4 linked regions of the Saccharomyces cerevisiae S288C genome follow. Changing the gene in region 1 together with any one later gene gives a genetic interaction. Each region holds a gene or a part of one and is shown in the gene's direction. Other genes may lie near its edges. The genes, in order: KIN82, UBP9, PCL9 and HSP12.

Region 1 (8,793 bases):
TTGAGGTCATCCAGTATGGCACCAACAAGTGGTTCTGATTCAATCTCACACAACTTTACGAGCCCCCCCTCTAAAACAAGTGGTAACTACGATGTTTTGACTTCAAACTCAATAGATCCTTCTCTATTTACAACTACGAGTGAATATTCATCTACACAATTGTCGAGTTTAAATCGGGCCTCAAAAAGTGAAACAGTTAATTTCACTGCTTCTATTGCTTCCACACCATTTGGTACAGATTCGGCTACTTCTCTAATAGACCCCATTAGTTCAGTGGGTTCTACAGCATCTAGCTTTGTGGGAATTTCAACCGCCAATTTTAGTACACAAGGGAACTCGAACTATGTTCCTGAATCAACTGCAAGTGGAAGTTCACAATACCAGGACTGGTCAAGCTCTTCTCTTCCGCTGTCACAAACCACTTGGGTTGTCATCAACACAACTAATACACAAGGGTCTGTAACGTCAACCACATCCCCGGCTTATGTTTCTACGGCCACCAAAACGGTTGACGGGGTGATCACCGAATATGTTACATGGTGTCCTCTAACACAAACCAAATCACAAGCAATTGGGGTCAGTTCGTCCATTTCTAGCGTTCCACAAGCCTCCTCATTTAGCGGTAGTTCTATTTTGAGCTCCAATTCCAGCACTCTTGCTGCCTCGAACAACGTTCCTGAATCAACTGCAAGCGGAAGTTCACAATACCAGGACTGGTCAAGCTCTTCTCTTCCGCTGTCACAAACCACTTGGGTTGTCATCAACACAACTAATACACAAGGGTCTGTAACGTCAACCACATCCCCGGCTTATGTTTCTACGGCCACCAAAACGGTTGACGGGGTGATCACCGAATATGTTACATGGTGTCCTCTAACACAAACCAAATCACAAGCAATTGGGATCAGTTCATCCACGATTAGCGCCACACAAACCTCTAAACCATCTTCAATATTAACATTGGGGATATCGACCTTACAATTGTCTGATGCCACATTTAAGGGGACTGAAACTATAAACACCCATCTCATGACCGAAAGTACTTCAATCACAGAGCCCACCTATTTTAGTGGCACATCGGATAGTTTTTATTTGTGCACCAGTGAAGTTAATCTTGCGTCTTCCTTATCTTCTTATCCAAATTTTTCATCTTCAGAAGGCTCTACGGCGACCATTACTAACTCTACCGTTACATTTGGATCGACCAGCAAGTATCCATCTACTAGTGTATCTAACCCAACAGAAGCCAGCCAACATGTGAGCTCTAGTGTGAACTCACTCACTGATTTTACTTCAAATTCAACCGAAACCATCGCAGTTATATCTAATATTCACAAAACTTCGTCAAATAAAGACTATTCATTGACGACTACGCAATTAAAGACCAGCGGAATGCAAACGCTTGTGCTTTCTACTGTCACAACAACGGTGAACGGTGCTGCTACGGAATACACAACGTGGTGCCCGGCATCAAGTATTGCTTATACGACATCCATATCATATAAAACATTAGTTTTGACCACTGAAGTCTGCTCTCATTCTGAGTGTACTCCAACGGTTATTACCAGTGTTACTGCAACAAGCTCTACAATCCCCCTTTTATCAACCTCTAGCTCTACGGTATTATCTTCTACAGTATCCGAAGGTGCAAAAAATCCCGCTGCTTCTGAAGTAACTATTAATACCCAAGTTTCTGCTACTTCCGAAGCTACTAGTACTAGCACTCAAGTGTCTGCTACTTCTGCGACGGCCACTGCTAGCGAGAGTTCAACCACATCCCAGGTTTCTACTGCTTCCGAAACTATTAGCACTCTCGGTACTCAAAACTTTACCACTACTGGAAGCTTACTTTTCCCGGCTTTGTCTACTGAAATGATAAATACTACTGTGGTTTCCCGAAAAACCCTAATTATTAGTACAGAGGTATGTTCCCATTCCAAATGTGTCCCAACAGTCATTACCGAGGTTGTTACTTCGAAAGGCACGCCTTCTAATGGACATTCTTCTCAAACTCTACAAACGGAGGCAGTAGAGGTGACATTGTCATCCCATCAAACCGTAACTATGAGTACCGAAGTATGTTCTAATTCGATTTGCACACCGACTGTTATTACATCTGTGCAAATGAGAAGTACTCCTTTTCCATACTTAACTTCTTCAACGTCAAGTTCCTCTTTAGCCTCCACCAAAAAAAGTTCCTTAGAAGCCTCCTCAGAAATGTCCACCTTTTCTGTCAGTACGCAAAGTTTGCCTTTGGCATTCACAAGTTCAGAAAAACGCTCCACCACATCTGTCTCTCAATGGTCAAATACCGTTTTAACTAATACAATAATGTCCTCTTCTTCTAATGTCATATCAACAAATGAAAAGCCCAGTAGTACTACCTCTCCATACAACTTCTCTTCGGGGTACTCTTTACCTTCTTCTTCTACACCTTCCCAATATTCACTATCTACAGCTACTACAACAATCAACGGAATCAAAACTGTGTACACAACTTGGTGTCCATTGGCAGAAAAATCTACTGTAGCTGCTTCTTCTCAATCTTCCCGCAGTGTTGACAGGTTTGTTTCGTCGTCAAAACCATCCTCATCTTTATCTCAGACCTCTATTCAATATACATTATCTACTGCTACCACCACCATAAGTGGTTTGAAGACTGTATACACGACTTGGTGTCCATTAACAAGTAAATCGACTTTAGGTGCTACTACTCAAACTTCCTCGACAGCCAAAGTTAGAATTACTTCCGCTTCATCTGCAACATCTACTTCTATTTCTTTGAGCACTTCAACAGAATCAGAATCTTCATCTGGATATTTGTCGAAAGGAGTATGCTCAGGTACTGAATGTACGCAAGATGTGCCAACACAATCATCCTCACCTGCTTCAACGTTAGCATATTCCCCCTCTGTTTCTACATCATCATCATCATCATTCTCAACAACAACTGCATCAACACTAACGTCAACACACACCTCTGTCCCGTTATTACCATCATCTAGCTCTATATCAGCATCTTCGCCATCATCAACTTCGTTGTTATCCACTTCTTTACCATCTCCCGCTTTTACGTCATCAACACTTCCAACAGCAACAGCAGTATCTTCCTCCACTTTCATAGCGTCTTCTCTACCATTGTCCTCTAAATCATCATTGTCGTTATCGCCAGTCTCGTCGTCTATTTTGATGTCTCAGTTTTCATCATCATCATCATCATCATCATCATTGGCATCGTTGCCATCTCTTTCTATATCACCAACTGTTGACACTGTTTCTGTTCTACAACCAACTACTTCCATCGCAACACTAACTTGCACAGACTCACAATGCCAACAGGAGGTATCCACTATCTGTAATGGATCCAACTGTGACGATGTGACTTCAACTGCCACTACTCCTCCATCTACGGTTACTGATACTATGACATGTACTGGATCTGAGTGCCAGAAAACCACATCTAGCAGCTGTGATGGTTACTCGTGTAAAGTATCCGAAACGTATAAATCAAGCGCTACAATATCTGCATGTAGTGGAGAAGGATGCCAAGCTTCCGCTACAAGTGAGCTAAATTCTCAATACGTCACGATGACGTCTGTCATTACCCCAAGTGCCATAACAACAACATCAGTGGAAGTGCATTCAACTGAATCCACTATATCAATTACTACAGTGAAGCCAGTTACATATACATCCAGTGATACTAATGGAGAACTGATAACCATAACAAGTTCCAGCCAAACTGTAATTCCATCAGTAACGACGATAATAACGAGAACAAAAGTGGCCATAACTTCAGCACCAAAGCCAACAACTACGACCTATGTCGAGCAACGACTTTCCTCCAGTGGGATTGCTACTTCTTTTGTTGCTGCTGCATCCTCAACTTGGATTACTACACCCATTGTCAGTACGTATGCTGGTTCGGCGTCAAAATTTCTCTGTAGTAAGTTCTTTATGATAATGGTAATGGTGATCAACTTCATTTAATTTCCCGTATATATTATATGTACGTATATATGCTATAAACAGACACTCTTTTTACTTACCTTTAATAATGCTTGATGAGAAATCAGTCATTGTTACTTCTTCCCCAAGGTTGTCATCATAATCATACCATTCATTATCCTCTAGTTGGCATGACATTACTTTCCCCGAACTTAGAGAAACTTCAAACGTTATGGTGTCGGGATAAAATTTGATTAATTCACAACCTCTGCAATCAAGGCTTAAAGGAATGAAAGAATCTTCTTTGACCTTCGATAAACCATGCTTCTTCCGCACATCTTTTATCTTGGCCCATTTGTCGTCACTCTGATCAGTTAAATATTCATCCTCAAAAGCGCACAGGTTAACTGACAATTCTTTTGAACAAAATTTACACTTCATCAAGAAAGATGCGGTACCTTTTGATGCCGGCATAGCATATTCTTCAAATGTATTGATGATGACTTTAGAATCGTGTAATTCTCTACAACTGGTACATTGTAGATCGAAGGCAAATTCTGCCCTTGATTCGTTTGTATTCTCAATTGAAACCTTGGTCACGTTTTCTGATAATGTTGCTTTCAGAACCAAAAATAACGGCATTATCGTACACAACCTGGTTTTCTTTATTGGTTAAGTTGTCTTTATTCAAAATTTTTCATTACTTCTTATAAACAGCTTCTTGACGCTTGTAATTTCATAAGTTTTTGATACAAGCAATGGAAACAAAATTAAGAAAATGTAGGCAACGAAGAACTAAATTTGAAAAAAAAAAAAAAAAAAATTTACTGCCAAGATCATCTAAATTATCTTATAGTAGCAAAGCTTGAGCATAAAAGGATCAATCTTTTAGTTTTTTATGGCAAAGTACATTTGCAGTAAGTAATTAGTGATGAGATAAACAAAGAATAATAATCCAATTCGAAATCAAAAATTCAAACAACAAAAAACATAATTTCACATATATATCTAATTCATTCACGAAAAACACGTCAGTTCCTTCTGTCTGTTGTAAATAGGATGCATCCGCAGTGAATCATGGAAATATTTCAAAACTTTCAGCCCAATCATTTTATTTGGTCAATGAAGCCATAAACGCTCCGTAATTCTAAGATTAAAAAAAATTCATAAAAATAAGGACCAATATAAATATATATATTTAATGTGCTAGTGACAATCCTAGTGATAAAATTGCAAATTATACTACAATTGGTCATGGTGAAGCCTAAACACACCATTACGTCTTCACAGTGTTATTCATTTTATTTTCAAAGGTATGCTACTACTAATGCACCAGTGTATACCATGATACGGTGAAAAGGGCATGTAATATTGCGTTAATTTGTCGATAACCTTTCTTTACGTTTAAATTTTTTTTTTATAACTGGCGACACTAAACTTCTCGATAAAATACAACATAAAAAGCAGTACCTAGCTAAGCGAACAACAGATAATAAATAGCTAAACATCTAGGTTAATAGCCAATTAGCAATACATTTAAGGATTGATAGTGTGGTATTTACAAGGTAATAGCCCGCTAGGCTATAAGGAAACTACTCTAAATTCACCTTCCATATATGTGACTGCCAAGAAAATATTACTAGTTATCAAGCTTTTTTTGTGTGCATTCAACTTCAACGAATCCTTCGTCATCAATGAAACAAAAGAACAAGCCAGAACTGAAAAAAAAAAATCAAAACCACTAAGAATGTCACATCCTTCCAAAACTCCTGCTGGCTCTTCAACTCTTCAAAGAATATCAAGATAAATATCATTATCTCCAGTGTGGCCGACCCATGCATGAGTGCGAGGAGCATTAAGTTGGATCCTGGGAAAACATGTCAAGGACATTCAATAAAGTACTTTTCATACTACAACAGACGCTAGAAGAACTAGAATGTAACCGTGAACTGCCTCTCAAACACATAATTATGATAGCGCCGTCTTCGGCATCCTTTTTCGGAAATATACTTTCCTTTTTCCCTCTTTCAGCTATATTGTTCAAGGAGTAACATAAGACATAATAACCCCAGTTTTTTTAGAGAAAGTTCTTCTTCTTTAATTATAGTATGTTTGAAACGTACAAGAATTCATTGAGTGCCCTAAGGATTACTGCAAACAAGGTTCAACAGTGTTGGTACACATGACTCAGCAAGAATACCGTTCCCCCTCACAACGCTTATCCAAGGGGAGGAGCATGTCGCTACCCAAAATATTTGCTCGTAATTTGAGATCTCTGCAAAACAATGCACCTCCTGGCAAAAACATCAATGTCAATTGTTTGAACGTCAATTCTTGTTCGTTGTCCGCAAGCCCAAGCTCACAAATTAATATGGCTTGTAATGGAAACAAGCAAGATCTTCCCATACCGTTTCCCCTGCATGTAGAATGCAACGATAGCTGGTCAAGCTCCAAACTTAACAAGTTCAAATCAATGTTTAATCATAACAGATCAAAGAGCAGTGGTACTACAGATGCGTCAACTTCAGAAAAAGGTACGCATAAGCGTGAACCCCGGTCGACGATACATACAGAGCTGTTACAAAGTTCCATTATCGGTGAGCCAAATGTCCATAGTACTACAAGTAGCACACTTATACCCAATGAGGCGATATGCTCCACACCTAATGAGATCTCAGGTAGCTCTTCTCCGGACGCGGAGTTATTTACCTTTGACATGCCCACAGACCCGTCATCCTTCCACACTCCTAGCTCCCCAAGTTATATAGCAAAGGACAGTAGAAACCTGAGTAATGGATCTTTGAATGATATTAACGAAAATGAAGAGCTCCAAAATTTCCATAGAAAAATCAGCGAAAATGGCAGTGCCTCCCCCCTGGCTAACTTGTCATTATCCAATTCACCAATTGATTCCCCAAGGAAAAATAGCGAAACCAGAAAGGATCAAATACCTATGAACATAACACCACGTTTAAGGAGGGCCGCTTCCGAACCGTTCAATACGGCAAAGGATGGGTTAATGCGGGAAGATTACATTGCCTTGAAACAACCTCCAAGCTTGGGAGATATTGTAGAACCGAGGAGATCTCGTCGTTTAAGAACCAAGTCATTCGGTAACAAGTTCCAAGACATTACTGTCGAACCTCAATCCTTCGAAAAAATTAGACTACTTGGCCAAGGTGACGTAGGTAAAGTGTATTTAGTGAGGGAACGCGATACCAACCAGATATTCGCCCTGAAAGTTTTGAATAAACATGAGATGATCAAGAGGAAGAAAATTAAACGAGTACTCACTGAACAGGAAATTCTCGCGACAAGTGATCATCCATTTATTGTGACACTGTATCATTCCTTTCAAACCAAAGACTATTTGTATCTCTGTATGGAATACTGCATGGGAGGGGAATTCTTTAGAGCCTTACAAACAAGAAAAAGTAAATGCATTGCAGAAGAAGATGCGAAGTTTTACGCCAGTGAAGTAGTAGCAGCTTTGGAATATTTACACCTACTGGGCTTCATATACAGAGATTTGAAACCCGAAAACATATTACTGCATCAATCTGGTCATGTCATGCTTTCTGACTTTGATTTATCCATCCAAGCAACGGGATCAAAAAAACCCACCATGAAAGACTCTACGTATTTAGATACAAAAATTTGTTCAGATGGATTCAGAACTAATTCCTTTGTTGGTACTGAAGAGTATTTAGCTCCAGAAGTAATCAGAGGGAATGGCCACACTGCAGCAGTAGACTGGTGGACTTTAGGAATATTGATTTACGAGATGCTATTTGGCTGTACTCCATTTAAAGGAGATAATTCAAATGAAACATTCTCTAACATTTTAACCAAGGACGTCAAATTTCCACATGATAAGGAAGTTTCGAAGAATTGTAAAGACCTGATAAAGAAACTACTAAACAAAAACGAGGCAAAAAGGCTTGGTTCCAAATCAGGAGCTGCAGACATAAAGAGACATCCCTTCTTCAAAAAAGTTCAGTGGTCGTTCTTAAGAAACCAAGACCCCCCTCTAATACCTGCATTAAATGATAACGGCTGCGAACTTCCTTTTATATTGTCTTGCAATAAACACCCGAAAAGGAACTCAGTGAGTGAACAGGAAACCAAAATGTTCTGTGAGAAAGTTGCAAACGATGATGAAATTGATGAGGCTGATCCATTCCATGATTTTAATTCTATGAGTTTAACGAAGAAAGATCACAATATCTTAACCTACTCTGAAAATTATACCTACGGAAAAATTCTATACAAAGCAACTTGTACAAGGCCAAGGCATAACAGCTCACATAGAAGTTTCTTTAAAGACATCATACCTGAACTATAACATGTTTACAGAAAGATAAACCCATGGCCAAATTTCTGTATTGTTTCTCTCAATTTATCTTATGATAAAAATGTAAAAAATTATTTAAAAGTAAACAAATAAACAAAGGAACAATTCAAAAACGAGAAAGTGAATGAAAAATATAATATCATTTATTGTCTGATAATGCTGCATTTAGAACATACGTACCATCCGCATCAGTGGATATCCAATGATAGTAATTTCGCGAGTTTATCCGTTGCTGTTATATTATCACTTTTTAATATTCTTTTCAAAGAGCTGAATAATTTCAACGCGTCTTCGTTAATGGATTCCTTCCGCAATTCTTCTGAAATACTGAATGCCCGATTTATAATATCTTTGTCCAGGCGTGCCAATTTCGCCACATTCATCCCATAACTATTATAAGTCAATCCCTTTTTTAACTTATATAGAAAAATTACACTCATCCAGTCCTCGCCAGTTTTTTGTTCTTCCACGTAATCCATATGATAATTCCT
Region 2 (8,877 bases), on another chromosome or scaffold:
TACAAGTTCCATTTCACTTCCTAGACATGTGTCACTAGATTTTAACGTTTACAATAGTCTTTGCCTCACAAATGAGGTGACTGCATCAGAATCACATAATGTGGCCAAATTTCACCTTGGCAAGAAAAACAAGAAGAGCTTGCTACCAAGATGGAAAACCATTGAAATGTACGGGGAGGTAGTTAAGAAAACTCAAGACATATATTCTAATTTTCAGTATGCACAATACATTTTAAGGGTAGGGTTGGATACCGAAAAACTACACGAACTTGTTAAGGAACTGGAGGATGAAAGCAATAGCTTCTCTGTAGATTCTTTAAAGGAATATTTAGTGAACGATGCCAAAGTTATTTTGAAGAAACTAAGTGCCGTTGGATACCCTGATGCACAGTACCTTCTAGGTGACGCCTACTCCTCTGGAGTTTTCGGTAAAATAAAGAATAGAAGAGCATTTCTTTTATTCTCCGCTGCAGCCAAAAGAATGCACATCGAAAGTGTTTACAGAACTGCCATTTGCTATGAGTGCGGCTTGGGTGTAACCAGAAATGCACCGAAGGCGGTTAACTTTTTGACTTTTGCTGCAACTAAGAACCATCCTGCAGCAATGTACAAATTAGGAGTATATTCGTATCATGGTTTGATGGGTCTTCCAGATGATATTCTAACCAAAATGGATGGTTATAGATGGTTGCGAAGGGCTACATCTATGGCTAGCAGCTTTGTTTGTGGTGCTCCTTTTGAATTAGCCAATATTTATATGACGGGATATAAAGATCTTATCATTTCGGATCCAGATTATGCTATGGCATTGTATGAGAAGGCGGCGGCTTTAGGGCATACTGAATCGGCAAGAATACTAGAAGACGCTCGCAGAAGTGGAGGGTTTGTTTCGCGAGGACATCCTCCTTCGGCACAGAAATATCATAAAACCTCCCATGAAGCTGTGGCAGCCAAAAAGTTGATTTAATAGATAAATACAAACTTCGTTTTCCTTTTATTTTGTTGTTTTTTTTTTCACAAACTGTGGAAGTTCGATTAACTTTAGAAGTTTGTTTGATCAAAAATAGACTGATCCTCACACCTTTCGTTACTATTTGTTACTTTGCTGTATATCGAATAAATAAACCTGACTAAACTCCTTCTGTTATTTAGCGCAGATCCTATATGCTGCATTTTTAGATGTATTTGAGCACTACTATCGTTAATGCCGTGGCATTGGCTATGGACCAGTTAAGTCACGGCCTTTCTTAGTTCTATCATATACGACGTTATACTTATTTACTTTCCCAGCGTTGAAATTAATGTGTCTTTTTCATAATATTTACTTTTTGGTGCGGAAATCTGTAATATTTTAAAACAAAATCTCATCCTTTTGAAAAGAAACGATGAAGAAAAAAAATAATAACATACATTGTACCTTCACTAACACTTGTAAAACAAACGCTTACATTATAATGGCACAAATGAGCAATCAGTGTCACTTCTTCCTACATAAGCATAATTCAAGTATCGGGATATAAAGCTATTATATACCGCTTAAGATAAGAGGTATACACCTCATTGATCAAATACGCAACAGCGTCTCCTTTCAGACCTTTGTGGAGTAATTTCTGCGGGTAGGATTGACTATTTTTCAAGATCAATGCCCCCTCACACTAAGACCTGTTTGCTTAGCATCATAAATGAGTTTTTCCATAATTAAATTTCAACCATAGATTAGAATTTCGTTGCGGGATAAAACTCCAGAACCACAACGATTATGCAGCAAATGTAACCTTGAACTAAACTAAGATTTTGTTAGAGCAGGTGGTTTCCGTTACTCAGACAAGAACCTATAGTAGAAATATAAAAGTTTAAGTAAAACTTTCTTGGAATAGGAATCAGCCATCATCTATCAACTAGTGTACTGATATTCATAATACTGGTATACAATCATATACGGTGCGGGAAGATGACATAAAAAATTGAGAAACACTCATCAAATTTAATGGAGGCCGAAATGCAGGGACTCAGATCGTGATAGAATAATAAACGAGAACATATAAAATGGAAGAAAAAAGAATAACAACAATATGTAGATTTATCGATTCTGTTGATAATTAGAGGTAAAAAAATAGTATTAATGAAGAAATAATTACTGATCTTCTTATACTAAATAAGAGAGGTATATAAAACACACGCCGATTGGTCATATTAATCATGACCAATATAATAGTGATTCCGGTAGTTACTATACATTGATGTGACGACTCATATTCCTCATATATGTACCTACCATAACATGTTCAACTAATAGGTGTTTAACACAGCTTCAGTATTGTCTGAGCTTCTCGTTTAACATTCCTTCTGCAATAGGCGCAATCACACTTAAACGTATACGAGGTGTACATTAATATACGATGTAAGCATTAGATTGTTACCATAGCAACTCATGTCACTATTAATTACTCTCGTTCCAACAGATTCTCCTTTTATGGATTCCATATCTCGAGGAGACTTCTAGTATATTCTGTATACGCAATATTATAGCGTTTACGAACAATGAATCCCAACAATTATTTTAAAATTCACCAACATCTCAATATGTGTTTTATGAATATTTTAGGTGGGTATTGTCATACTGACGTATTCCATTTTGAGATGCAACACATACGTGTATTGTAATCCGATATAGTGTAACGGCTATCACATCACGCTTTCACCGTGGAGACCGGGGTTCGACTCCCCGTATCGGAGTACTTTTTTGACATCATACAGTGTATGTATGGGGTTAGGAGCCACCTTCCAACAAAGCATCACGCTGTCGTATCTCAATTGTCCTTCAGCAAAAGAAAAAGCAGTTGGGCTCCTGTACGCCATATATACTTTATATGCGGTTTTTACCCCGGAAATCGCGTTTATTAATGTCAATGCGCGATTTCTATTATGGGTTGAAAAAGTTGCACTTCTGTTCCTTTCCAAACGATATACGCCCCCCCCACAAGAAAACGTTTCTCTTGCATTCAATAAGGTCCATCGAAGCTGTATTTGGAACTTCCGATTTTATTAAACTTCTAGGGGCGAACTCAACCTTTCGCTTGAACAAGCTTGAATGTGTCGAAAACCTTAGCTCGATCCTTAAAAAAGTATTTGCATTATCAGTAATAAACAGAAAATTAAAACATTTACCAAAGGCAACGAGTCTTCCATATGAAAAATGATAAAAAGATGGTTATCTGTGAATAGGAAAAAGTCACACCCGGAGAAGAACACTCAAGGTAATGACGAAATTAATCGGAAAGCAACTAGCCTGAAGAAAACGAAAGGTTCTGGAGATCCCTCCATAGCGAAATCACCAAGTGCTAAGAGTAGTACATCAAGCATACCTTCTAATCTTGCGAGCCATGAAAGAAGAAGCAAGTTTAGTAGTCAAACGGATAACCTTGCAGGAAATAAACATTACCATGAGCATTACCATAATATGGCAAGTACTTCAGATGAAAGAGAGTACGATTCCTCGACTACATATGAAGATCGTGCGTTCGATACAGAGTCCTCCATACTATTTACTACTATTACAGATTTAATGCCATATGGGGATGGTTCCAATAAAGTGTTTGGTTATGAAAATTTTGGGAATACTTGCTACTGCAACTCCGTTCTACAATGCCTTTATAATATCCCCGAATTTAGGTGTAATGTGCTGCGATATCCTGAAAGAGTAGCCGCAGTAAACAGAATACGCAAAAGTGATTTGAAGGGTTCAAAAATAAGGGTATTCACTAATGAAAGTTTTGAAACATCTACTAATAGCGGAAATTCTAATACGGGGTACCAAAGCAATGATAATGAAGATGCACATAACCACCACCACCTTCAGCAGAGTGATCAAGATAACTCCTCTTCTTCTACTCAAGAAAAACAGAATAATTTTGAAAGAAAAAGGAACTCGTTTATGGGTTTTGGAAAAGATAAATCGAACTATAAAGATTCTGCAAAGAAAGATGATAACAATGAGATGGAACGGCCTCAGCCTGTTCACACAGTTGTAATGGCCTCTGATACATTAACAGAGAAGCTTCACGAAGGCTGTAAAAAAATTATTGTGGGAAGACCGCTTTTAAAGCAAAGCGATTCCTTATCAAAAGCTTCAACTACAGATTGTCAAGCAAATTCGCATTGCCAGTGTGATTCACAAGGCAGTAGGATTACATCAGTGGATGATGATGTCCTTGTTAACCCTGAGAGCTGTAACGATGCTGTCAACAATTCTAATAATAATAAAGAGAATACGTTTCCAACAAGTGAACAAAGAAAAAAAGCCGCTTTAATTAGAGGCCCCGTTCTTAACGTAGATCATTTACTTTATCCAACCGAGGAAGCTACACTTTACAATGGACTAAAAGATATATTTGAGTCTATTACTGAAAACTTGTCGCTAACCGGTATCGTTTCACCTACAGAGTTTGTCAAAATTTTAAAAAAAGAAAACGTCTTGTTCAACACTATGATGCAACAAGATGCCCATGAATTTTTAAACTTTTTATTAAATGATTTCAGTGAATATATTCAACGCAATAATCCCAGAATGAGATTCGGACCACAAAAGACAGACAACAGCAACGACAACTTTATAACGGATTTATTCAAAGGTACACTGACGAATAGGATCAAATGTTTAACTTGTGACAATATCACCTCAAGGGACGAACCATTTTTAGACTTTCCAATAGAAGTACAGGGTGATGAAGAGACTGATATCCAGAAGATGTTAAAAAGCTATCATCAGCGTGAGATGTTGAACGGGGTTAACAAATTTTATTGTAACAAATGTTATGGTTTACAAGAAGCAGAACGTATGGTCGGACTGAAGCAACTGCCCCATATTCTGTCATTGCACCTAAAAAGATTCAAGTATTCAGAGGAGCAAAAGTCAAACATCAAACTTTTTAACAAAATACTCTATCCACTAACTTTGGATGTTTCTTCCACTTTTAATACATCAGTATATAAAAAATATGAACTAAGCGGCGTCGTCATCCATATGGGGAGCGGTCCACAGCATGGTCATTACGTATGCATTTGCAGGAACGAAAAGTTTGGGTGGCTTTTGTATGATGACGAAACGGTGGAATCCATAAAAGAAGAAACTGTGTTACAATTCACAGGTCATCCAGGTGATCAAACTACAGCCTACGTTTTATTCTATAAAGAAACACAGGCTGATAAGACCGAAAATCAAAATGAAAATATAGACACTTCTAGTCAAGATCAAATGCAGACTGACAATAACATTGAACAGTTAATAAAATGCGATGATTGGTTAAGGGATCGTAAATTGAGGGCAGCTGCAAATATTGAACGCAAAAAGACCTTGGGGAATATACCTGAAGTTAAGACTGCAGAAACCAAGACGCCATTAAATGATAAAAAACGCAATAAGCAAAAAAGAAAATCGAGAATATTGAGCTTCATCAAATAAATCGGGATTGTTTCGATACATCATATAGTTGAGACCCATCTGTTCTAAAAGTATCAATATTAGTGTACCATTTTTTCTTCCTTTTTTAAATAATTTCCACGTTTCTTTCTATTGTTCCTGATCTTTCGAATTTAGTTGTATTTCACTTCACCTACTGTAATAACTTTTTTTTTTTAGAGCACAATAAAATTTCACATATTTTCCAAAAGCAAGGGCGGTAAATCAGAAAAGATTAAGCTTTAATGAAAATCTCATAGAGACCAGATGAAGAATATTGGTGGCAGCATAAGCGCTAATACTGAATAGATATACGCATTTTTTTTCAAAATATCTGTTAGTACATTTATACAAATATATTCGTTTATACCTCTTCTTTAAACAGGCGCATGTGTAAATAAATATGAGACTGATTCTCCATTATGCAATCTTCTGATAGCTTCTGCAATCGTAGGGCTGATATCCACCTGATCGACAATGTCCAAATCCAAATCAACAGGTACCGTGTTGGTGCAAACAATTCTTGATAACCTACTATTTATTAACTTCTCCCTAGCTGAGCCAGAAAATATACCATGTGTGACAATAGCGATAACCTCCTTAGCACCGTGATCCATTAATGTGTCACAGGCTTTCACCAGCGTACCACACGTGTCAGCCATATCGTCAATCAACAAGCATGACTTACCAGCAACATCACCGACAAGCAGCATTCGCGAAACTTCATTAGCTTTTTGCCTCTCCTTATGAATCAAGGCAAAATTCATATCCAGCTTGTCCGCTAAAGAAGCCACCCTTTTCGCACCACCAGCATCAGGCGATACCAGTATCGCATTATTGAAATCTGTTTTGGTCCTTATGTAATTCAACACACTTGGTTCACCGTATAAATTATCAACCGGGATATGAAAAAACCCTTGAATTTGTGAAGCATGGAGATCCATAGTAATAACATGATCACAACCCGCAGTTTCCAAAAGATTGGCAATCAGCTTCGCAGTGATGGGCGCCCGCGATTTATCCTTCTTATCTTGTCTAGCATAAGGGAAATTTGGTATTACTGCCGTAATTCTTCTGACTGATGCCGTCTTACAAGCGTGAATTAAGATAAGTAATTCCATTAAGAAATCGTTGATTTCATGTTCCCCGTAACCAGTTTGGATGATATATACGTCTTCATCACGAATGCTTTCCCCTATTGTAACAGACGTCTCTTTATTTGAATACTGATATACCCCCACTTTAGATAACGGTACACCAAGCCTTTGGGAAATAAGCTCAGCAAGCCCAGGATGTGAGTTACCAGCTAACAACTTAATACTGTTTGTAGACATATTCAACGAAACTTACGACAAGATAGTCTTTGGATGATGAGGAATATCCTCTTCTTAGCAATCCCTCGATGCCTCCTCATATCATCTATTGTTCAAAATTTTTTCATTGTTGAAAAATAGTCACGTGCTTAACCATTTTGCTGCGCGATTTGGTAGGAGGATAAATACACGGGCATACCGTATCTGTTCAATAGCAACAATGTCGGAGAGAGCTAAACTAGCCAACTCGCCATCCTATTCCACTGGTCGCTTGAGTCGATATCCTTCCACAGCAATATTGCACTTTACAATTAGGATAGCCTCCCCAATAAAATAAGGAAATTTTGGTTATTTGTGTTCAGAAAAAGCCGAAATCGATTGCAGAGAACAGAAAGGAACTTTCCGATTATCACACTTTAGGAGCCGTGATAAAGAAGACTACCATCGCATATCGCAGAAAAGACTTTAAATATTAACTAAAACCGCATTCGCAAATTGCAAACAAAGTACGTACAATAGTAATGGCTACAAAGCAGGCTCACAAGAGATTGACGAAAGAGTACAAGTTGATGGTGGAAAACCCTCCACCATATATTCTTGCTCGCCCCAACGAAGATAATATTTTAGAGTGGCACTATATTATCACAGGACCTGCGGATACTCCTTACAAGGGCGGTCAATATCACGGTACTTTAACTTTCCCGTCTGATTATCCATACAAACCACCGGCTATCAGAATGATAACACCGAATGGACGTTTCAAGCCCAACACACGATTATGCCTTTCTATGAGTGATTACCACCCTGATACTTGGAATCCTGGCTGGTCTGTCTCAACCATTTTGAACGGGTTACTAAGTTTCATGACCAGTGATGAAGCCACGACAGGATCAATTACAACATCAGACCATCAGAAGAAGACATTAGCAAGAAATTCCATAAGTTATAACACTTTTCAAAATGTTAGATTCAAATTGATTTTTCCGGAAGTTGTACAGGAAAATGTAGAGACATTAGAAAAGAGAAAATTGGATGAGGGGGATGCGGCAAATACAGGTGATGAAACAGAAGACCCTTTTACAAAGGCTGCGAAGGAAAAAGTCATCTCGTTGGAGGAAATTCTAGACCCTGAAGACAGAATACGCGCTGAACAAGCGTTGAGACAATCAGAAAATAATTCCAAGAAAGATGGCAAAGAACCTAATGATAGTTCTTCAATGGTTTATATTGGTATCGCTATTTTTTTGTTTTTGGTTGGCCTTTTTATGAAATGAAGCCATTAAATGAACTAAACTTTAGATAAATTTTGACAACACAGAATAGAAATCAATAGTATTATATAGACAAAACGGATCTTTTTATTATGAACATTGTGAATTATTAATTATATTTTTGAGTATGTATTGACCAAGAAACCTCAATAAAAATGAGGTGAAACCTAGGGAGACAGAAACTCCCATTTCAAAAACCTTCAACTTTCATTATAAGCTTACCTTGAGCACGTTGTGTAGCCATATAGGAAAATGCTTCCTTGAAATTTTTCCAGGAATAAACCTTATCAACAACGCAATCTACGACTCCCTCATTTAGCAGCTTGCCGCATTCATGTATCCAATCATTCTTCTTGGGGATAATCTTGATATTGGGGTCAAAGTAAAAATGAGAATAATCGTATGACCATAACATTGATCCAAACATTTTTCTTGCATTGGCGCTAGGGTTATCCCAAGAATCAAAGACGTCTTTCTTATAATTTCCAACATAATCACCAACTGTTGTAATATAAGCACCTTTAGCGTGAATTAAAGAACTCGAGTGACTCAAGATATCATAACCACCGATGAAGTCCAACACGACATTAAATTTACCCTGAGTATAATCTTCGGTTTCTTTGAGAGTATTAAAATCATCATAATCTACAACTTTACCGGTATCCAACATACGTCTGAGTGGTTTACTAGATTTTCCCCTACATGACAGATAATTTATGAAAATGATTTCATCTTTCAAATCCGGGAAATGTTCTGACAGGACTGCTGCACCATTACCTGACGTTACCACTACTAGCTTTTTAGAAACTTTATAGTAACGCTTCAATAACTGGAT
Region 3 (7,499 bases), on another chromosome or scaffold:
TTAAAAGAAGAAGATTTACTCTCCCGTGATGCCGGGCCAATCAGACGCGCGCATTCGCGGCAGAATAAGGGGAGGCTGCTGCGGGTACCAAATATCCAGATATTCACAATTATGCCAATCAACTGTCTAGTTGCTGACACCCATCGTTTTCCACTGCAACGAGGTTTTGGGGCTAGAAAAGGCGTTAACAATCGTTAGAGAAGGAGGGGTTCATAACTTGACTTGTTGTATCTTGTTTAAAACTTTCTTTGAATTTGTTCGTGGTTGAATTTGTTTTTGCTATCCCAAAGGAGTGCATTTTACACGCATTACTACAGCACACTTTTATACAGTTCCACAATAGAATATGTTACCACGTTCAGCATTAGCACGCTCATTGCAATTACAGCGCGGTGTGGCCGCAAGGTTCTACTCTGAAGGTTCTACCGGCACCCCAAGAGGGTCAGGCTCAGAGGATTCGTTTGTTAAAAGGGAAAGGGCCACGGAAGACTTCTTCGTTAGGCAGCGTGAGAAGGAGCAACTACGCCATTTGAAAGAACAACTGGAAAAACAACGAAAGAAGATTGATTCTTTGGAAAATAAAATTGACTCGATGACCAAATAATCATGCGTTTCCGCAGAAGCTTTTTTTTTTTTTTTTTTAGAATATTCTTACTCTTTTATAGTCAAACAGCAGAAAAACTATATAATAATACATCACACTGAGCTTTTGCATTTTCGATAACTATCATTCTAGTTTTCCTCTGGTTTGAATTTTCCTCTTGTCTGTCTGACTAATGTCACTCATTATTTCCACTTCGCGCAAAGTTCGTCCCAATGCGGAAAGGCATAGAAAGATAGGAACAGTGTGGAACATGGAAAAGTTCCAAATAACGTCAATAGTCCATACTTAAGATACGAAATTTCAAAATTCCTTCTTTTTTGTTTCAACAAGCTTAGCCTAACACCAAGAATATACTTAGCATCTCTTCGCATTCAAAATTTCTCTTCCATTCTTTGACGTTTTAAATCATACCTCGTATTCTTTACACAAAAGAAAGATACCTGTGAAATATATCTGAATATGGTCCGATTAAATCATGCAGCATCATATTTTATGCCTATTTTCTGCTCCACAAGGCCTCACATAGTGATACTTTCTGCGCTGTTTAGTATTTCACTGTTTTCACTATTCTATGCGTCGTCCGAATTACTGCTACACCAGTATGATGATCCATTGATGTTCAAACCAAATTCGCAGGACTATTTCAGGACCTTTCTTTTGGGGCTTTTTTCACCATTTCTTTATTATTTCCTGAAGACCTTTCTATTCAATATAAATCAAAGGTTTTTAATATTGAACCTGATAGTGGATTTTCCTATCAACGACGTCTTTATGCTTTTGATACTGATTGGTTTAGCGTACCCTCAGGTGCAAGATCACGAAGGCGGTACGATCAAGCATAAGGAATGTTCTTGGCACATCATTCCAAGACAAGCCTATATCTTTGGTATATCATGGGCCCTGGGTGAATTCACCATATGCATAATAGGGAATTTGTTTAACTACCAAGAAATCGCCGATCCAAACATTAATAGTGGCTTCACACACCAGGAAAGCGCCAACACTTACTGTAACAATAATGATATGAGCCATAACGATGACTGCGGTTGTAGTACAGAATATCGCCCCAACGTCGTAGACAGAAGTGATATTACGTTGTCCAAATGTATTGAAGTAAGAAATGACTCATCTTCCATATCGAATAACGTATACTCGTCTGAGTACCATCCAATCAAACCTCTACGTTCATCGTCATCAACTTATGGCAGCATACGACAGCAACCTCATGAAAATAAGAAGCAGCTGCATGTACCAGATAATTCGCAGGACGATACAATTATCATGATGAACCCCATCGACAATTCATTAAAGTTGACAACTCTAGATACGGGTGATTTGAGTTTCCCCATAGACGAAGAACAGCCCATTTTGAAGAAATCTTTTGGTTATACATGGGCAGTTCCTAATGAAAATACACAAAATACTACTAAAAGCTTCACACCGATAAAGAGATTTATTGCATTTAGCACGGCATACCAGTTGGTCACCGGTTTATTGTTAATGATATTGGTAGTTGGTAGTAATATCATGTTGACAATTGGGGAATCATTGATTCTGTCGATGTATTTCGTCTATGTTCGCGGCCATGAAGGATTATTTACTCCCGTGGTGAACTACTTCGGCTCAAGAACCATTTCAAATTTCATCTTATGCGTAATAATTCCTTTCATATCTCTAAACTTCCTCATCAACACTTCGATATATTTAAGAAGAGAGCTAGACGATTGGTTTAATAATTCACAGGGGGAGTTTGAGGACGACGACGAAAATACTATCAGTAAGAGAGTAGCTACAAATCAAGAGTACCAACATCCACTGAGTGCTAATTACATTTCGATGGATAGTCCTGATGTAATAAATAGCAGCCCGGGTCACTTCGGGATGAATTCAGGCCAGTTGTTAGGTAATACGACGTTATATTATGGTAGTTTAAATGGGGATGATGATGATATGACCAACGACTCCGCTTTACTAAGATTCTGCAAGAAGCTAGTCAAAAATTGGAGGGCTTTGGCAAGAAATGATTCTTTTGTACTTGGAGTAATGGTTTCTTGGAGTCTTCTTGTTTTTGTAACGGGAATACTTTCAACAGTTTATATATAGCATATAAGTAACGACCGTGCACATATTAGGGTGTTCATATCTTGAAAAATCTTTATGTTATCCATTTTACTTTAGGGGAGGTGGAGCTTAATAATAAAATTTACATAAGAACAACAATCTGTAAGTAATTATAAAAATATATTAAAGGGACATTTTAACCCTACTTTAAAAGTTTAACTACATCAGTGGTTCATCAATCAAAGGTTATGCAAGGTAGAAATTTGTCCAAAAGAAAATAGATCATGCATCATTCAATATGGAGCTCACACTGTATGCTACAATTTGGCCTCCATTCATAACTGCCAAGATAAAATTTGTTGGCAATATGGAGCTCACACTGTATGCTACAATTTGGCCTCCATTCATAACTGCCAAGATAAAATTTGTTGGCAATATTGAAAATTCTTAAATTAGCGCTGCGCGGAAACCAGCGTCACTAATTTTTTTTTTTATTGCTGCACTAAAAAAAAACCAGCTCAAGTAGATAATCTTACAAGGGACAAGTAGTCAAGCCTTGCTTATTATAATTCTGTTTAACGGTGCAGTGAGTTTGGACATTCATGCAACGTGGTAAATATGTGTCTCTTTGCTTCTGTATTTAAGCATTTGGGCAGCTTGCGGTCAGTAGAAGAGTGCATCGACATTCATAGATCTCTAATAACATATATTTAAGTGGATATACGCAAAGAAAGGACAAGAAAACTTGTTTCGGTAACAGCATTATTAATTCTGAAGAAATACGCACAAAGAGATGATTTCTGACTACGATGCTCTTTTGCAATTCAACAAAAAACCTGTTTCGCAAGAAATGATTCAGTTCTTAGCCACTTCTACTGCTTCCATAATTAAAATCAGGGAAAATAATAATCCAATCCAAGGATGTCGCCCACCAGACTTATCTATCTTCATTAAAAACGTGGTAATTCAGTCAAATGTTCAAACACCAACTTTAATGGCCACATCAGTTTATTTAAACAAACTGAAAAGCGTAATACCAAAAAATGTGTACGGTATTAACACCACAAGACATCGGATATTTCTCGGATGCTTGATATTAGCTGCCAAAACTCTGAACGATTCTTCTCCCTGGAACAAACACTGGACCACGTACACAGAAGGTTTACTCAGAATACGTGAGGTGAATACCATCGAACGAGAACTATTAGAATATTTAAATTGGGATGTGAGGATAACTACACCGGATTTGATTGATTCTCTTTCTTACTTCCTCGGGCCTATCAAGGAACAACTATTTTTACAAAGGAGACAAGAAATGCTGTTGTTCAATGCACCAAGTCCCGGCCAACTGAAAGAATATATAAATCATAGAAGACCGGTTTCGCATTCTAGAACTTCTTCTGCTATATCGGTTCCTTCACTGACATCCATGGCAACAGTTTCGACAACAGACTCAAGGTCTTCTCTACTGGCAAAATACCAACCGTCCCTACCGTTGGTGGAATCTGACAACTTCAACAAAAAAAATCATGTGCCGTTAAGGAATAATAACGATATCTGTAATAATTTCAGGGCAGAGGAAAACATACACTCAGTAAACCATATTGATGTAACAATGGGAAGTTCACCAGTAATGTCGCATAAGCCCACAATTCACCAACGGTTAAATTTTACAAGGAGGGGCTGGTCATCGTTTTTCAAGCAATAATTCTAAGTTACTCGCCTTTTACAAGCTCTATAAATATTCTTTTCCGTTCTTTAGTTGTCTTAACTTTGTACAATATGAATAACCATCGTTTCTAGGCTACTAAAAAAACACCATACTACATAAACAAATATCTAATAATGAATACTCTTGGCATTCGTCTTGTTTCTCGAGGAATATCGGCCGAGTTTTTTTCATTTTGACAGGTTATATAATTCAAAATCTATCTGACTCTGAAAAAGTGGTAATAAATGCATTGACAACTTCTTCTCTTTATTTTACAGACATTAATCCAGCACTACAAGTGGCATATAACAAGATGCTAAGAAACATTTTGGTGAGAAGTACTGGCAGCAATTTCAAATTTGCTGGCAGATATATGAAATCATCAGCTCTTTTAGGATACTATAGAAGAGTTAACTATTATTCGACCAAGATACAAACCAGACTGACTAGCGAAAACTATCCAGACGTGCATCGAGACCCTAGATTCAAAAAATTAACGTCCGATGATCTAAATTATTTTAAATCTATTTTATCGGAACAAGAAATATTAAGAGCCAGCGAATCAGAGGATCTTTCATTTTATAATGAAGATTGGATGAGAAAGTACAAAGGACAGTCCAAGTTAGTATTGAGACCTAAGTCAGTGGAAAAAGTTTCTTTAATCTTAAATTATTGTAATGATGAAAAAATTGCCGTTGTCCCACAAGGCGGTAACACGGGGTTGGTAGGTGGTTCTGTGCCCATTTTTGATGAATTAATTCTATCTTTAGCAAATTTAAACAAAATAAGAGATTTTGACCCTGTATCAGGTATCTTGAAGTGTGATGCTGGTGTAATCTTGGAAAATGCTAACAATTACGTAATGGAACAAAATTATATGTTTCCGTTGGATCTGGGAGCTAAAGGTTCCTGCCATGTTGGTGGCGTGGTTGCAACCAACGCTGGAGGACTAAGGTTATTGCGTTATGGCTCACTACATGGAAGCGTTTTAGGCTTAGAGGTGGTAATGCCCAATGGTCAAATTGTTAATAGCATGCATTCCATGAGAAAAGACAACACCGGTTATGATCTGAAACAGCTGTTCATTGGCTCAGAAGGTACTATCGGTATCATCACTGGTGTTTCAATCTTGACTGTTCCTAAGCCAAAAGCGTTTAATGTATCTTACTTGTCTGTTGAAAGTTTTGAAGACGTTCAAAAAGTCTTCGTCAGAGCCAGGCAAGAATTATCTGAGATTTTATCCGCTTTTGAATTTATGGATGCTAAATCTCAAGTATTGGCCAAGAGCCAATTGAAGGATGCTGCCTTCCCTTTGGAGGATGAGCATCCATTTTATATTCTTATCGAAACGTCAGGGTCAAACAAAGATCACGATGATTCCAAACTTGAAACATTTTTAGAAAACGTCATGGAAGAGGGCATAGTAACGGATGGTGTAGTGGCACAAGATGAAACCGAACTCCAAAACTTGTGGAAGTGGAGAGAAATGATTCCAGAGGCAAGTCAAGCTAATGGTGGTGTTTACAAATACGATGTTTCTTTACCACTAAAGGACCTATATTCTTTGGTTGAAGCCACTAATGCAAGACTTTCTGAAGCTGAATTAGTGGGTGATTCGCCCAAACCAGTGGTGGGCGCCATTGGATACGGTCACGTGGGTGATGGTAATCTACACTTAAATGTTGCAGTTAGAGAGTACAACAAGAACATTGAAAAGACTTTGGAACCATTTGTCTACGAGTTTGTTTCCTCAAAACATGGTTCCGTTAGTGCCGAACATGGGCTAGGTTTCCAAAAGAAAAATTACATTGGCTATTCTAAGAGCCCGGAAGAGGTCAAGATGATGAAGGATTTGAAGGTTCATTATGATCCTAATGGAATTTTAAACCCTTACAAATACATTTGAAAATAAAATGCCAAGTTTTATAGTTATCTACATATGTATATATTTATCAATATTATATTCTACAATTGTGTATATTATATGGTAAGGGTGATATTTAAGGAAGAAATCCACCCTTCTTTAAGGTTTCCACTGCACATGTTGAAATGTGTCTGAATCTTGATGAGCCCAAAGGCGTGCCACCATACCATCTGGTCACTATTACCAAGACGTTGAATATGTTTGCTCTTTCAAGTAAGGTCAATAAACGCTGTCCAGCACCAGCTTCGCCACAGTCAGCACATCCTTGCTCAATGTTCTTTGGCTGCACCGTTATGTTCCTTGACTTGTTAACATGACTATTATTACTCTTATTTGCTTTATTGCCCTTCTTTTTCTGCTCTTGTTGTAAGTGCAAATTATTTGATACCTCGGCCGTTCTCCAGGCATACATGTGCATGTGGGATGCCTTGGAGACGCTTTTGTTGTTTTGCGTTAGTTCTTGGAGTATGGAGGGTATATCCTTTTGATTTTGTAATGGGCAACATCTTGCTTGAAATTTCGATTTTCTATCAACTAAAACTTCTGATTCATTCCATATTTTCACTAGCTTACCAACATTCTTACTCATTTCTCCAAAAAATAGTAATACCAAACATCAATACCTATCTAAGAATCTGTATAATGTCTTTTCTAAAGGTTTTTTACAGCTGATGATTGATGCATGACTTATTTCCACAGTGCCGTATTTTCTCAGTTGCCGTTTTGGGTCTGCTTTTCACAATGCGAAGCTTTGTTGAAAAGAGCTCTAAGGTCAAAAACAATAGTAAGCTGATCGGTATTAAGTACTTGCCTTCCTGAAAATTGCTAACAAACATCCAAATATACCTTCCCCATAGTTGAATGGCATCTAATAGAACAAAACCAGGTTAAGATAGGTTTTACTTTGAGTTGTTAAATACACGCAGAAAGCGTCTTTCCACATAATCTGAACATTTTGTTATCGATGGCTACTGGCAGGATTCAATTTGCTGTTTCTACTCCCTGCAATACTAAGGGTAAACCGTCTGGTTATAGGTTATTTGAATTTAAAAACGATCGATTAGCACTGGTCCCATCAGAAAGAGGTTGTACAAAAGTAGATGTGAATGCAAATATACAAGCGTTTTGTTATTTAAGGCCTAATGGTAGAGACACGTCAATATCTCCAGACGCAACGCATATTTTGGACTCATGTGATT
Region 4 (6,810 bases), on another chromosome or scaffold:
AATAAATGAGAATTATTTAGAAGTGCTTTGGAGGGGATACATCCAACGTTAAGACAGGTACCGCCTAATTTGCCTCTTTTTTCTACACATGCAGTGTTAAATCCCAATTGAGCAGCTTTGATAGCAGCCACGTAACCAGCAGGGCCACCACCGATGATGACTACATCATGTGACTTGTTAATGGTCAATGTCCTGACTGTGGACGAAAAGGCACGCTTATTATTTAGGAGTGATCTGATTCTTAACATTGTGAACTGTTAGTATGTTCTTTGATGGTACGACAGAGACAATCGAACAAAACCGTATATATATAAATATACGTTATATGTATATATATATCTATATATATTCGAGGTGAGTCAAAGGGTACGAATTATCATCAAATTGTTTATTAGCATTATAATACACTAAGTTTCCATTAAGTTGCTCCGCGGAGACTTCTCGCCAATGAGGGAACAGCCGTTCGAGATGATAAAGTATTCTAAAAACGAGTCATCATTAAAAACGATTCACGTGATATTCACGTGCATAAACCATTAGTAAGTATATATTTTTAGTGGGATATATGAGGGTACATTGCATCATGACTATTCGTGGTAGTCACGCATACGTTTGTCAGTGGCATTGTTCGAGTATTCCTCTGTTCTTCATTTCCCTTTTTTCCTATAGCCTCGCCTACGCTCTTTCACGTTTGTGCTGATAGAAACAATGTGGTAAGAAAAATTAAATCTCTAAAGGTGCAATGAATGTATAAGAAAGTACAACGCATATAGAGTATCCGGCATAGGACAGGATTACGCAAACACACGCACAGATACAATGGTTTCTACCCCTGAACTGAAGAAATATATGGACAAGAAGATATTGCTGAATATAAATGGATCTAGGAAAGTGGCAGGAATTTTGCGAGGCTACGATATTTTCTTAAACGTCGTTCTTGATGATGCAATGGAGATAAATGGTGAAGACCCTGCCAATAACCACCAGCTAGGCTTGCAGACCGTCATTAGGGGCAACTCCATAATATCCCTAGAGGCTCTAGATGCCATATAAAATTATATATATATATATATATGTCGACCTCTATGTACTATACAGCAATACTATTTTCTAATTTGCATTTCCACGCCTGCGTTGCTAAACCCACATTTTTCATAGAATTTGACATTTTTCTCATCGCAATCTAAAATAATCTTATAACAACCGTAGTCAAAGCCGATAGTTACCAATTGATCAATCAAGAGCTTGCCCAAACCTTGGCCCTGATACTTGGAGTTTACTGCAATGTCCTCGATGTGGCCACATAGCCCCAGTTCATGAATGATCTTTCTTTCGATGATGATATTCCCCGTAGCGGCAACCGTCTCGGTGCGCTTGTCCACAATCACCATGGGGTTATATTGCATTATTTTTTTATCTTCGTTATCATTCCATACTGTGGCTTCATTCCAGTATTTTATGAGTTTGCTGAAGGATTCGGGGGTAATAGTGCCCACGGTGGTCAAAACCTTTAGCGTCTCAGTGACCTGTTCCAAATCCCCCTCTTCCATTCGCCTTATATAAAATCCATCGGGTAAGCTCATTATTTTATGTTGATATCCAGCTTCCGTTCGTCAACTATTCTCTCGAGCTCAGTTTTGGGTTTTGGCATGTAAACAATGCCTTCGCTTGTATTACGCAAAAAAAAAAAAAATAAATAAAAAAAAAAAAAAAAAAATAAGGTATAAATCGTTGGTTCTTTTATGCACAATTATTTAACTATAGTTATCTATTTACGTAAAGGCTTCTATTTTTCCTTATCTACAAGAAATTGCATGAAGTTTAATTTTTTTTGTCACCTTTGATCTTCCTGAATGTGTTGGTAATGAAATTTTCTAGTCTCTTCAAAGTGTTGTCGTCATCCTTTTTTGCGTGTTTTTCCTCTTCTTGTTTTTGTTTCTTCAGTATCTCTTCATTAATGGCTGTACCCGCGGCTGTGCCCGGTTGCATGGTTTTCTTGGCCATGTCATCGTTGGTGACATCTGCCAGTGCCTCCCACAAGCATTTTTCTGCCAGCGATTGCGGTTTCTTAACAACGATCTTGTACTGGACTTTCATATCACCGCGAATGGTTGATGTTTTAGGAACACCCATGTTAGGAATGGATATCACTTGATTGTATTGAGTCCCTGGAGCGACCTTTATCCTGATCTTTTGTCCCTCCACAGTGGGGATAGTGACAGTACCACCAAGTGCAGCTGTGGTTATAGGAATCTCCTTGTCGTACCAAATATCGTACTTGTTCTTTATCGAAAAGTTGGGATCCTTGTCGACACGAATTCTCACCAAAATATCACCTCTTGATAACTTGACTGAATCTTTCAAGTCCGCCTCTACAGCGATGTCAGGGTATGAGCCTTGGCCAGGGATCCTGACCACGTCGCCGTCCTGTAATCCATGTGGCAAGTCCACCGTAATTGTCTTTGCCCTGTTGACCTGAACACCCTCACCATGGCACTTGGTACAATTGTCCTGAGGCCGTTTCATGGTACCTTCACCGTTGCAAGTAGGACAAGTCGACATCATCTGAAATCCGCCCCTAATGTGAACAGTGGTTCCTGTTCCGTGACAAGTGCTACAACTGACCTTATGCGTGTTTGGTTTCATTCCCGTCCCTGAACAGGTACTACAAGGGTCCAGCGCAGAGAATCTTAACTGAACGTTCTTGGACCCAAACACTGCGTCCTTGAAAGACACTTTATGGACAATCTCGATTGGGTCGCCCCTATATTGTCTGAACATAGATGACGACCTGCTTGCGCCACCGCTACCGCGGCCACCACCACCAAATGCAGCACCAAACAGGTCTTCAAAATTGATACCGCCAAATGGCGAGCCGCCTGCACTGGTGAATCCTGAGAAATCATGAAATTGGGAACCAAAGGGAGAGCCACTACCACCACCGGCACCTCCAGCGGCACCGCCGCCGCCGAAGGCAGCGGGCCCAAATTGATCGTACTGCTGCCTCTTCGTTTCGTCTGACAGAATTTCATAAGCGTTCTGTAAATCGTGGAATTTCTTCTCAGCATCCGGTTCCTTGTTGATATCCGGGTGGTACTTCTTTGCCAGTTTGTAGTATGCTTTTTTGATTTCCGCACCTGTAGCAGATTTCTTCAAGCCTAAAGTATCGTACGGGTCCTTGAATGCTTCGTTGTTTCTGATTGCAGAAGTATGGAAGCTAGATTTTGGTATTCGTGGAGCGATGGATGCAAACGCGATGGCATGTCTATAAAGAATATTATTGATATGGCGAGAATGTCCCACATGGTGTCTAAAGACACCGGAACACCTTGACAATACACCTTGTTGGAAAGCCATTGTTATGTTATGTTTAGAGTATGATATAGGACTTCTCTCTCTTTTTTTTTTTTTGTCCAGGTGGAGTGCGATTTGTTCGTTATATGCCTCATTCCTTAATTTTTATCAGTCAGAACGTTATTTCGCGCTGCAAGTTCCTTACTTTTCCATAGAGTTCCACAGGATGTAAAGAAAAATAATGATAAAAAAAAGCAGAACATATTACCCTTCTTTTGGAGCGTACTTCCATCTGTTACCCGCTCATCCAAATGCACATTCTGTTACCCTCTTGTTCGGTATTTTTCGGAGTTCTCCTTTTCTCCTTCTTTTCCTCTTGATACACAGAAAAGTGGGAGAAGGTAGGGGGAGTCAGAGAATGAAGAAAAAAAGGGGACGCGCAAATCCAAGTGAAAATCTCCGGGAGCGGGCGGATCCCACTAACGGCCCAGCCGAAAATGGAAAAAAAGGGTCGGTGATGTGTGGGTGCCAGCTGGCGGTAGCAATGACGACGTGTTGACGGGCCCTTGGCTCTTGGGACAAGGACTAGAAGCCAAAAGCCAGAGGCGGTAAAAATAGCAAGACTAGAATATTGCTGGCATCTGTTAAGGGGATATGTTGCAACTTGCAGGGGGCGGCACAAAATAACATAGAAACGTAGTAAAGAGGGGAAAAGGAAAAGGAAAAGGAAAAGGAAGGAAAAAAACCCATTGACGTAGAAATTGAAAGAAGGAAAGGTATACGCAAGCATTAATACAACCCACAAACACAGACCAGAAGCACTCTAGACGGAGAGTAACTAGATCTACAGCCCCTGGAAAATCGTTTGGTCAACTTTGAGGTTCCGGTCGTCCCCCTCTTGATCTGAAAGGTCTTTCTCTAAATCTATATTAAAACGTATAAATAGGACGGTGAATTGCGTTCTACTTCCTCAATTGCGTTTGATCTTATTTAATCTCTCTCTAATATATAGAAAAAAAAACCATCTGATTATTCGATAATCTCAAACAAACAACTCAAAACAAAAAAAACTAAATACAACAATGTCTGACGCAGGTAGAAAAGGATTCGGTGAAAAAGCTTCTGAAGCTTTGAAGCCAGACTCTCAAAAGTCATACGCTGAACAAGGTAAGGAATACATCACTGACAAGGCCGACAAGGTCGCTGGTAAGGTTCAACCAGAAGACAACAAGGGTGTCTTCCAAGGTGTCCACGACTCTGCCGAAAAAGGCAAGGATAACGCTGAAGGTCAAGGTGAATCTTTGGCAGACCAAGCTAGAGATTACATGGGAGCCGCCAAGTCCAAGTTGAACGATGCCGTCGAATATGTTTCCGGTCGTGTCCACGGTGAAGAAGACCCAACCAAGAAGTAAATCTTTCGGAACTCTTTGTAGTTACATGGTTTTTTCTTTATGATGTGTGATGTTCCTTAATATTATATTCAATGAATAGCAGAGTAATAAAAAAATTCTAAAAAAAAAACGCTTAAATCGAGGTGGAATATATAAACTTAAGTACGCATATACTCTAGTTCAGTTTAAAAATTAGCTGTTTTTTTAAAAAAAAAAATTCTCTTTCTTTACAAAATGTTCTTAAATGTATGTATGTGTGTGTGTGTGTGTGTGCGTATTGTTCTATTTCACTCCAGCTTAAACATGGCGGTTGCTTCTTCGTCATCAATTTCCGCGCGTTCGATTTTATTTAAAAGTACTTTCTTTGAAGCGCCGAGATTTTTCATGAAATCCGTCTCAAATCCAAGCAAATTATCTTTGAATTTCTTTCTCTTTTTACCGCGAATCCCAAGCACTGACGCTACGGGGATGTCTTCAAATTCATTGAATATCTTGATTAACCCAATATCGCGTCTTTTCAACCTGTTTGGCACCTGGGATTTTTTCAAATCGGCGAGAAACTCCTCTTGTGTCTTACCATTTTCTGACACATGCTTGTTCAGATCTAGCGATATTAGCTTGTCGACCTTGTTTACCGTAGCCGAACTATTGTATTTTTTCAATGGTGTTAGATTTAAATCGTTTTTGTCAATGATAGCAGCGGAGGTGATTTCTTCTTCTGTTTCTGTTGGTGCTGCTGGCGTTACTTTGGGCAGTTGTGGTGTGACTTTTTTCCTGTTCAATGTCATGGGTGAAGAAGATTCCAGTATGGGCGTAGGCGTCAAAAGTGATCTAGTCTCCTCTACAGTCTCCTCGCTCTTGTCATCTTCCCCTTCACCGTCCTCTTCACTCTTGTCACCACCGATACTGGGCTTTTTCACCTCTGTAACATTGGTACGCTCGCGCTTCCTACCCTCCTCCATCTTACTCATGAATTCTCTTCTCTTGATGCGTTGGTTGGCTCCGAACTCTAATTCATCTTCAGGATCCGTGTCGTAACTGCGTTCCGTACACCTTAAAATGAACTTTCCAGCAGGTGCACCATCTTCCAATCCATTGAAAAATCTTACTGATTCTTCGACCTCCTCCTGGCTTAAGTTTGTCTCCAAATGAATATATAGCAGCCAAATCAATATGTTTGATCTATCCTTTGGCTCGTATTTCGAATAGTCCAGTATATCAAATAATGTTGTTGCATAAGCTGCTTTTGATTCTTGTTTTTCATTTTCCGCTTCCGTTTCTTTTACTTCATTCTGTTCATCTACCATATCTTGCTCCTGAGCTTTCGATTCGACTTCCACATACTTGGAAAGAAACCTCTTGTCAATTAGGCCGGAATTATCACATATGCTAAACAACATATTAATAATGTTAAATTTGTTAACGGTGTCCACTTCACCATCATTTTGGTCGACCTTTTTGTAAGTCTCCATCAATGAGAGTTGCTCATTGCCCCACGGCAGATTTTTCAGAATAGATTTCAGTCTAGGTGTATCCTGCAAAAGTTTCGGATCATTGGCATGTAATTGTAAAACTGGCACGGAGTGAAAAGTTCTCAATTGCGATGTCATTTCTAAATAAAAATTTATAGTGGTGTTCAACCTACCAATGTTGACCAATAACGCTAAAACACAAGTAGAAAATGCTACTTGTTGGTCTAATAATAGTTTATCTCTGAGAATTTTGGAACATTTGATAGAAGTGGCTATTGTCAACACATACAATTGTGCGAACGTCAATTTATCGTTAAATACAAATGTCCTTGCATCGTACTCTTTGTCGGTCACGTTGATTGATAATTTATCGCCATCGATATTAATGGGTACAATAGAGTTCTTGTATAGGGGTTTTAGAACATTAGTGAAGATTTGCCTCTTGTCCATCAACAGTTCTTGCATGAAACTGAACTGAATGTCCTTTCTATTGAATGGCTCGCCGTCAGGTTTCTTCAAATGACGATTGTATTTACTGGCATTGCTTTCTTTGGGTTTCCTTCTAACAGTGTTAGTTGTCACTGGCCCCGTTGCCGTACTTGCTCCTGTTGCTTCAGGCACTGTAGAAGGTTCGAAGTTGAGCAAGATGTTGG

Evidence for each region.
Region 2: mutations in KIN82 (region 1) and UBP9 together harm fitness more than expected from each alone (negative genetic interaction), as found in Saccharomyces cerevisiae (3 studies listed by BioGRID).
Region 3: mutations in KIN82 (region 1) and PCL9 together harm fitness more than expected from each alone (negative genetic interaction), as found in Saccharomyces cerevisiae (3 studies listed by BioGRID).
Region 4: mutations in KIN82 (region 1) and HSP12 together harm fitness more than expected from each alone (negative genetic interaction), as found in Saccharomyces cerevisiae (3 studies listed by BioGRID).

The regions. Positions count from the first base shown.
Region 1 is NC_001135.5:268,274-277,066, forward strand, and holds KIN82 (putative serine/threonine protein kinase KIN82), read left to right. Parts: upstream 1-6,130; coding exon 6,131-8,293; downstream 8,294-8,793. Other genes in the region: FIG2 (Fig2p), read left to right, coding at 1-3,990; YCR090C (uncharacterized protein), read right to left, coding at 4,042-4,590; mismatch repair protein MSH3, read right to left, coding at 8,491-8,793. UniProt on the Saccharomyces cerevisiae protein: Flippase activator that phosphorylates DFN1 and DFN2 and which is involved in the generation of phospholipid asymmetry in membranes by the inward translocation of phospholipids.
Region 2 is NC_001137.3:352,270-361,146, forward strand, and holds UBP9 (putative ubiquitin-specific protease UBP9), read left to right. Parts: upstream 1-3,196; coding exon 3,197-5,461; downstream 5,462-8,877. Other genes in the region: SHC1 (Shc1p), read left to right, coding at 1-967; ribose phosphate diphosphokinase subunit PRS2, read right to left, coding at 5,836-6,792; E2 ubiquitin-conjugating protein UBC6, read left to right, coding at 7,293-8,045; AST2 (Ast2p), read right to left, coding at 8,233-8,877.
Region 3 is NC_001136.10:134,833-142,331, forward strand, and holds PCL9 (Pcl9p), read left to right. Parts: upstream 1-3,458; coding exon 3,459-4,373; downstream 4,374-7,499. Other genes in the region: INH1 (ATPase inhibitor), read left to right, coding at 347-604; AIT1 (Ait1p), read left to right, coding at 1,064-2,707; DLD2 (D-lactate dehydrogenase), read left to right, coding at 4,690-6,282; YDL177C (uncharacterized protein), read right to left, coding at 6,377-6,889; GID12 (Gid12p), read left to right, coding at 7,265-7,499. UniProt on the Saccharomyces cerevisiae protein: M/G1-specific cyclin partner of the cyclin-dependent kinase (CDK) PHO85. May have a role in bud site selection in G1 phase.
Region 4 is NC_001138.5:102,880-109,689, forward strand, and holds HSP12 (lipid-binding protein HSP12), read left to right. Parts: upstream 1-4,376; coding exon 4,377-4,706; downstream 4,707-6,810. Other genes in the region: LPD1 (dihydrolipoyl dehydrogenase), read right to left, coding at 1-248; mRNA splicing protein SMX2, read left to right, coding at 820-1,053; GNA1 (glucosamine 6-phosphate N-acetyltransferase), read right to left, coding at 1,104-1,583; MDJ1 (Mdj1p), read right to left, coding at 1,822-3,357; YFL015C (uncharacterized protein), read right to left, coding at 3,590-4,084; IES1 (Ies1p), read right to left, coding at 4,973-6,810. UniProt on the Saccharomyces cerevisiae protein: May play a role in a switch from carbohydrate utilizing metabolism to fatty acid utilizing metabolism.